2 linked regions of the Drosophila melanogaster genome follow. The protein of the gene in region 1 purifies or fractionates together with the protein of each later gene. This does not show direct contact. Each region holds a gene or a part of one and is shown on either strand. Other genes may lie near its edges. The genes, in order: Syx16 and Snap29.

The links.
Region 2: the proteins of Syx16 (region 1) and Snap29 purify together in Drosophila melanogaster (affinity purification with western blotting; 2 studies listed by BioGRID, with this or other methods). This does not show direct contact.

Annotation. Positions count from the first base shown.
Region 1 is NC_004354.4:20,391,517-20,395,324, reverse strand, and holds Syx16 (syntaxin 16), read left to right. Parts: upstream 1-1,573; 5' UTR 1,574-1,682; coding exon 1,683-1,763; intron 1,764-1,837; coding exon 1,838-1,971; intron 1,972-2,033; coding exon 2,034-2,877; 3' UTR 2,878-2,991; downstream 2,992-3,808. Other genes in the region: HERC2 (HECT and RLD domain containing protein 2), read right to left, coding at 1-445; l(1)G0004 (lethal (1) G0004), read right to left, coding at 3,067-3,789.
Region 2 is NT_033778.4:23,842,725-23,846,659, forward strand, and holds Snap29 (Synaptosomal-associated protein 29kDa), read right to left. Parts: upstream 2,040-3,935; 5' UTR 1,923-2,039; coding exon 1,655-1,922; intron 1,586-1,654; coding exon 999-1,585; 3' UTR 759-998; downstream 1-758. Other genes in the region: shu (shutdown), read right to left, coding at 1-354, 412-470; CG5554 (uncharacterized protein), read left to right, coding at 2,435-2,607, 2,811-2,972, 3,042-3,216, 3,383-3,865.

The sequences.
Region 1 (3,808 bases):
GCTGGCAGCAGGAGCACTTGAGCTGCTGAGCGCCGCAGTAGTGCTTGCCATCGTCGCCCAGGTAGGATAGTTGTCCGCGGGCATTTAGGAGCGGCGCGGTAGGCGACGAGACCAGCTCGCAGTCCTGGATCAGATGGTTCCACAGTACGGCGCCGTCGGCGGCGTTGCGCAGGGAGGCGATGAGATCGGCGCGCAGCCACTTGGCGTCCAGAAAGGGCAGCGGGCGCAGGTAGAGATCGGGCGAATGGCTGGGCGGTGCTGCTGATCCGGAACCTGATCCCGATCCAGATCCTGCTGCGGAGCCTGCTCCTGCCGCTGCTCCACTGGCACCTCCACCCCCTCCTACTCCAACTCCAGCGGAGACTGGTGCTGCAGAAGCGGTCTGGCTGGACCCAGCACCCTGGCCACTGGATCCGGCTCCTCCGCTCGCCTGGCGGTTGAACATGTTTGTGTTTTCGTGTTGCCTTCCCTAGTGCTCCACCGCCGAAGTCAGGCTAGAAACGAGCTCGACCACAACCACAACAACGACAATGGCATGGCACAGTTACCCCTTCAAGGGGGGTGTGGTGGTGGGTTGGAGCGCGGGTGGGGGCGGGGGCGAAGGCGGGTCAATGTCGTCACTGGCACACACACTAAGCACACGCACACGCGCGCAAGCACACACACAACTGCAATCGGGCGTCCAGGATCAGGATAATTCGTTGTTATCCTTGTCCGCACTGCTCATTTCGTTGTTCCGCTCGGAGTTAGTTATGACATCCTGACTTTTCCACCCGCACTTGAACTCTCCGTTTTCCGCGCTTGCTGCTTTCGGGTCACAATTGGAAGTGCCAGTTACCAGTACAATGCAATTTGAAATCAAGGAATTATTTTAAAATGAAATAAAATTGTTTGATGGCAATCGATATCAGGGGGAGGTGCAAACTGACTGAGCTATCAAGTAATCGATATCAGGGGGTCGAGCCATCGATATGTTTTGCCTTTCGATAGCTCTTCAGTGTTCTTAAGTCACAGGCTTGTGTCACGGATTAAAACCCAGTACAGTGGAAGCTGGCTATTAGAAAACGTTAAGCCAAACTCATAATGAGTTCCCTAAAATTCTGTAAATTTGTAATTTTTAAACATTAGCCTAAAATGTACTTGATTCTAAAATCATTTACAATATCATTCGGTTATATTACTCTTTCGTAACGCAAAAAAAGAGAACGCACATAACAAATTATTGAATACTTTTATTGTACTATTACGGTCGTTTTATTGCTAAAAGTATTGCATTTCAATTTACGTGACGGTGTGTACAGAATTAACTTTATAAATTGTTGAAACTCAACAAAGCAATACTATATTCTGTAATTTCCGAATATTTCTATTGGAGCTATCCAATCCGTATATTGAAAAAATCACTTTCGCAAATAGGATGTTTAGGAGTATACATATAAAGTACAGATTCTACAGATAATAAGAAAATAATATTTAAAATAAGTATAATTCTCGGACATGTAACGGTGCGTTCAGGCCAGGGTGACCAGTTCGTCGTGGCGACTATCGGTATTCTGGGCGAGCAAGTCAGCGGGCACACTGCGCTGCTGTGTCAAAACGAAACTGGAAAAAATCTGATTGAGTTTTCAGCGGACTTGGATCAATCCTTCCAATCCCCAAGAAATCGGGAGCAGACGGCCAGGATGACGTCGCGCAACCTGACGGAGGTGTTCGTCATCATGCGCAACAATGCGTCCAAGAACCGGAATCACTACGACGATCGGGTGAGTGCGTCTCCGTCTGGGGTCTTCACTGTTATCATCAACTAACATATGTTTTGCGTTTCTCCGTCTTCCAGAGGGGCAGCGATGCGGAGCGCCTTCTAAAGCACTCGGTGCGCGAGGCGGAGGAGGGACTGGAGCTGCAGGACGACTACGGCACGCCGCCCGCCTGGCTGGACAAGTTCGAGGAGGCGCAGTACACCATGTCTAAGTGGGTAAACAAACAGTAGTCCATGCGCAGGGTTCAACTTCACTCCCATCACTCGTTTGCAGGATCAAGCCTAAGCTGGATGAACTGGGCTCCCTGCACGCACGCCACCTCCTGCGACCCGCCTTCGATGATCAGCGGGACGACGAGTGCGACATCGAGGTGCTCAGCCAAATCGTCTCCAAGCTGATCACCTCCACGCACCGGCACATCCAGTGCGTGCGCAGCAGCATCGGCGTGGGCAGCAAGATGGAGCAGTGCCTGACGGTCAACGCGGTACACTGCGCCCTGCTCCAGCTGCAGGAGCTGACGGTGAAGTTCCGTGCCAGCCAGAATGCCTACCTGCTTCAGCTGAACTCCCGCGAGGAGCGCTCGCAGAAGTACTTCGACGACGGCGGCGGCGCTGGCGCTGGAGACGTCTTCACAAACGTGGAGCTGGGCGAGCAGAGCGCCGAGAACTTCGTCGACTCCTTCGACAACTTTCTGCAGCCGCCGGCGGAGGGCAAGTCCGGCAACGGCTATCTGTTCGAGGACGACGAGCAGGCCATCGACGATCACTTCCAAAGGCCGCCGGCCAGCCGGATGACCCAACAGCAGCTGCTGCTCTTCGAGGAGGAGAACACGCGGGTGGCGCAGCACCGCGAGCAGGAGGTGACCAAGATAGTCAAGTCCATCTACGACCTGAACGACATCTTCAAGGACCTGGGCCACATGGTCCAGGAGCAGGGCACTGTGCTCGACCGCATCGACTACAACGTGGAGCAGACGCAGACGCGCGTCTCGGAGGGATTGCGCCAGCTGCACAAGGCGGAAATGTATCAGCGCAAGAACCGCAAGATGTGCGTCATTCTCGTCCTGGCGGCGGTCACATTCTTCATGCTGCTGCTGCTCATCCTGACCAAGCTCTAGTTGCCCACGCGCCTCCAGTGGGCCGACCTCATTCCCGTCATTCGCTGTGTGTGTTTGTGTATATTGTAAATGTTTGAATACATGTTATTATATTTATTATTTATTGCTAATGCTAAAAAAAAAACCGCAACTACTCCCTCTCAAGTCGAACTCCACTCCAGTCCAGTCCACTCCAGTCCGCTCTCCCAATCACATGCGCTCCGAGAGGCGCGAGGCGACTGCCCGCAGGTTGCCATACACCTTGCTGGGCGGCGAGCCGAGGATTAGGTTGCAGACGGCCCGGCGCGCAAGCTGAATGTTCTGGTAGCTGCCCAGGATGTGGATCTTGCTATCGGCTAGCACGATGCGGGTCTTGGTCACGTTCTCGATGGTGAATTTGGTGCGGCCGCCCTTGCCGGCGAGGCGGCCGATGGCGCGAGACTGGTGGTCGCCGCGCAGCGTCTTCACGTCCTTGATTTCGAACGACTCGACGAACAGGTCCTCCAGACGCAGCAGGGCCAGGGCGTCGTCCACCTCGAAGCCGCAGAGAAAGGCGCGCACGAAGTCGGCGCCGCGCTGCAGGTTGGCTATGTCCGGCGTCTCGGGGCCCACACGCAGCTCCACCTGGCGCGCCTTCATGTTGAAGCGGATCTGCAGCTTCATGTGCTCCACCACGGGCGTAAAGATCTTCATCCAGTGCTCCTTGAGCGAGGAGTACCTGTGTGGCGGCACGGATACCTTGCGCAGCTCGCTTCTGGCCCGCTTTGCCTTGGGCGGCGCCGATGCTCGCGAAGATCCCAGCACCTGGCCCTCAATGCCGGTCGCCTCGTCCACCTGCATCTCCACGTCCTGCTGCCCGCCTCCGCTGGCTCCGCGCTTCGTCGCTCTCTTCGCCGGCTCGAATGCGTCTGCTCTGATGTTCTCTGCCTCCATGGTGCAATCTGTTGTGCTT
Region 2 (3,935 bases), on another chromosome or scaffold:
CCCTGGCCAGTTTCAAACACGAATTTGCTGCCCCGCAGCAGGGAGGAGTCGAAGGGAGCGGTCTCGCCCTCCCAGTAGCCACTGTACCGAACCGAGACCCTAGCCTTGTTCGGCACCGCCTCCCGATCCACGTGACCGGTGCGAGTGATCCGCTTGTAAATGTTTTCGTCGATCTCGCTCATCAGCGCACGCAGTTCGTCGAATGAATATGTCCACGGTGAACGTAGCTCCTCGCCGTCCACGTCCAGCGCATCCTCGTAGTCGCTGTCGCTGTCGCTGTCGAGACCCAGATCCCTGGCATGGTTCTGCTGCGAATTGTCGACCTCGAACTCAACGCCCTTTTTCACGAGATCCCTGCAGAATGAGTTGCACGTGGTCATGAGTGCCTTTAATATGTATCTTATTACTCACGAATAGGACAAGGGATTCTTGAGCAACTGTGGGGTGTACGGTTCGAAGTTTTCTTCCATTATCGCAAAATTTACAGAATATTTACGAAACGAATTCCGGAATGCGCTGAGTTGGCGCTATTCTTTTGGATGCGTTTGAGAAAAGAGCTTTCCAGCGATGGTATCAACTGGAATTCGATTGCTTGATAGCTTTAGCGAATCGATTGGTCGCTGTTGTCCGGAAGTTATCGAATTCAAACAAAGAACTATATATCTTTATTAGGGCGCGAGCACTGCAACTCGAGATATCTTCCGAAAATGTATAATGTATTCCAATCCAGACGGGGAAACACTAGGCCAGATATACTTGCTTTTTATATGAATCTTTATTTAAAACTGAACACTTATCGCTCTCCAACTACGAGCACTCCATTGAGAGAATTGTTTTGGTGTGTGTAACAATAAAAAACTAGGAAACATAATGAGGAATGCATTCTTAATGGCCTTGTGAAGTGCTCACCGTGCGATATGGTATGGCTAAGATTTGTATATTAAGGGAGGGCTATTCTAAGCAATGATCAATACAATAGTATGCGAATGCTCGCTTGTTCACTTCTTCAGAAGCTTGCTCATGTCCTTGTTCTGCTTGTGAATCTTCAAGTCGACATCCTCAATTTTGTAGTTCATGTTATCCAGCAATTCATTTTGCGACTCAATTTCGCCACCCAGATCGGTGGCCAGCATCTTCAGCACCGACAGGTTGCTGCACATCTCCTCCAGATTGGAATCGATCTGGGCCTGGAAGGGATTGGCCGCCTGTCGCTGGGGCTGGTAGGTGCTGCTGGGATCACCACGCAGCTGGCTAACCGGATGATTGTCGTAGCGCTCCGCTGGTGATAGCGGAGCCGAGGGGCTAGCACCGCCACAGGCACCCTGGTTAATGTTGCTATTGGCCTCCTGGGAGGACTGACTGCCCGTGGGCGAACCAGTCGCGGTGGGTGGTTGGTCCCTGTTGCCCGAAAGGTAGTTCTTGAGGCCGCCGAAGACACTCTTCAGACCAGTCAGATGGCGCTGGCTGAAGCGCAGCGTGGAGCTGATCTCGTCCAACTGATGTGATGTCTTCTCCAGTTGCTCCCGCTGCTTGGCCAGCTCCACGGCCGTCGCCTTACCCACCTCCTGGGTTTCGTAGAGCAGACCTGGGGGTTGTAGGAGAGAGACGCATCAATAACGCCCCTTAATTGGCTGGCAATTGACCCCATGTTTACCCAAGCTTTTGTTGGTAGAGTCCAGAGTTCGCTGCTCAATGGCCCTTCGCTTCTCAGCATAGGCCAGTCGCTGTGCGGCCACTGATGGCGACGAGGTTATCTCCTCTTCGTCATCGTCATCCATCTCGAAGGGATTGGTGCTCCTCTGCTGCGGAAGCTTGGCTGCTCCCGTCCGTTTGTTCTGCAGGAATAGGTCGTCGTCCACGTCCTCGAATCTGTCCACGTCATCGAAGTGATCGTGCACTGGCTGCAGGTAGTTATGGGCCATTTCTTGTGGCGAGGGAAACTTCCAAAATGTCGAATTTTGTTATGTTTTCGTAAACTTTTATTTTCTTTGTTGTTGTCTGGAGTTATCGATTGCAATAGCGATGGTACAAATGTAGTATTTGTATGCAGTTCAATCGACTTATAAATAGCTTGACATTGCAGAGGCTTCAATAAAATAAGTTATTATAATTAAAATGATTTTGAAGATACGATAAAAATTGAATTTGTATGTAAGAAAACTTGAAGCTTGATCTAATAAATAAAAAATCGTGTAACGAGCGAATACCGACCGAATCCCCCTACCGATGATCTAGCGGGGAATAAAGCGGCTTGCCATCTCCGATGGATATCGAACCAGCACTTCTGTCAATTTTCCAGCAGGCGTCGCAGTTTCTGTAACTTTTTGGAACTGACCAAGACGGAAGCTTTAGTTTAATTTAAGAAACTGTCGCAGCCGAACGTCACAGGTTTCAGGACACGAATCGGCGGAGCAAAGCACCAAAACATCACCACATGCATAGCACATCGTACTTTGTGGCCGCGACATGCGCGGCGCTGCTTCTGCTGGCGGCGACGGCGCAGTCGACGGCAGCAGCGCAGTCAGGACTGCAGCCAGGTGGCAAGTTAATCGAGTTGGACGAGGACAACTGGCACCTGATGCTCCAGGGCGAATGGATGATCGAGTTGTGAGTGCGAAAGGGTGGCTCTGAGTAGTCCCTACCCACATGAAACCCCGCTGCCCCTGACGTAACATAAAGGGGCGTGGTGCGCCGGCTTTCTCCAGCCGGCAAGCTGGTTCTTTCGTTCTCCGAAATACCAGACATTCCTTTGCGGCGACGATGACTCATCGGCAGCTGTGTTAAACATATGTTTCTCCCTCCATTCACAGCTTTGCTCCATGGTGCCCGGCCTGCAAGAACCTGGCTCCCACCTGGGAGCGGTTTGCCCGCGTGGCCAAGGATGTCCAGGTGCAGGTGGCCAAAATCGACGTGACAACCTCGCCCTCGCTGAGTGGACGCTTCTTTGTCACCGCCCTCCCCACCATCTACCAGTGAGCACCACATAGACCTTTTCAACCCATGAAATACACATCGTCGTAATCCACGTCAATCATTTCCAGCGTAAAAGATGGCGAGTTCCGGCAGTATCGTGGGGCCCGTGATGGCGACGCCCTCCTCTACTTCGTGAAGAAGCAGCAGTGGCAGAGCATCGAACCGCTGTCCGCCTGGAAGAAGCCCGACACCACCCACATGTCCGTGCTGTCCTACTTCTTCAAGCTTTCGCACACTCTGAAGGTACGTTCACCTAGCCCATTATCGCATCGGTTCACTGCATGAGACATAAGCGGAAGCTTATCAGCGGGTTGATCCCGTTGACCCACAAAAGATTGCCGCCCATCACTCATTACTCTGGTCTTTGCTCTCTGCTGTTGTCTTGTATGTTGGGTTCATGTACTAATAGCATACGCAAAAACTCTTTAAGGACTTCAACGGGCGCCTGCAGGAGGAATACGGACTGCCCACGTGGGGCTCCTACGCCCTCTTCGCCATCGCCACCATCTTCGTGGGCGCTGCCCTGGGGCTGCTGCTCGTGTGCCTTGTGGACTTTGTCTACCCACCCAAGAAGTCGCAGCGCCAGAGCTTCTCCGAGTCCCAGGACAATCTGACCGAGGGCCTGGAGGATTTGGCAACCGAGGAGATCGAGGATGATGGCGACGCCGAGGAGAACGATGACGAGCAACGCGATAGCGACGAGGAAGAACAGGAGGACGACGACGAAGAGGAAGAGGACAGCGAGGAGCAGGTGGGCGATCTGGCCACTAAAGAGAAGGAGGCCGACAGCGAGCCGGAAAAGGAAGAGAAGCCGGAGCCCAAGCAGGCCGGCGATGCTGCGCCCGAGAAGACGGAACAGGTGCGCAAGCGCAAGCCTCGCAAAGGCGATTAGGTGCAGCGGGGTCCCTGCGGATCTTCAGCCTTAGCGATCATCAGAAGCGGCAACAAAAAGACTAACACAC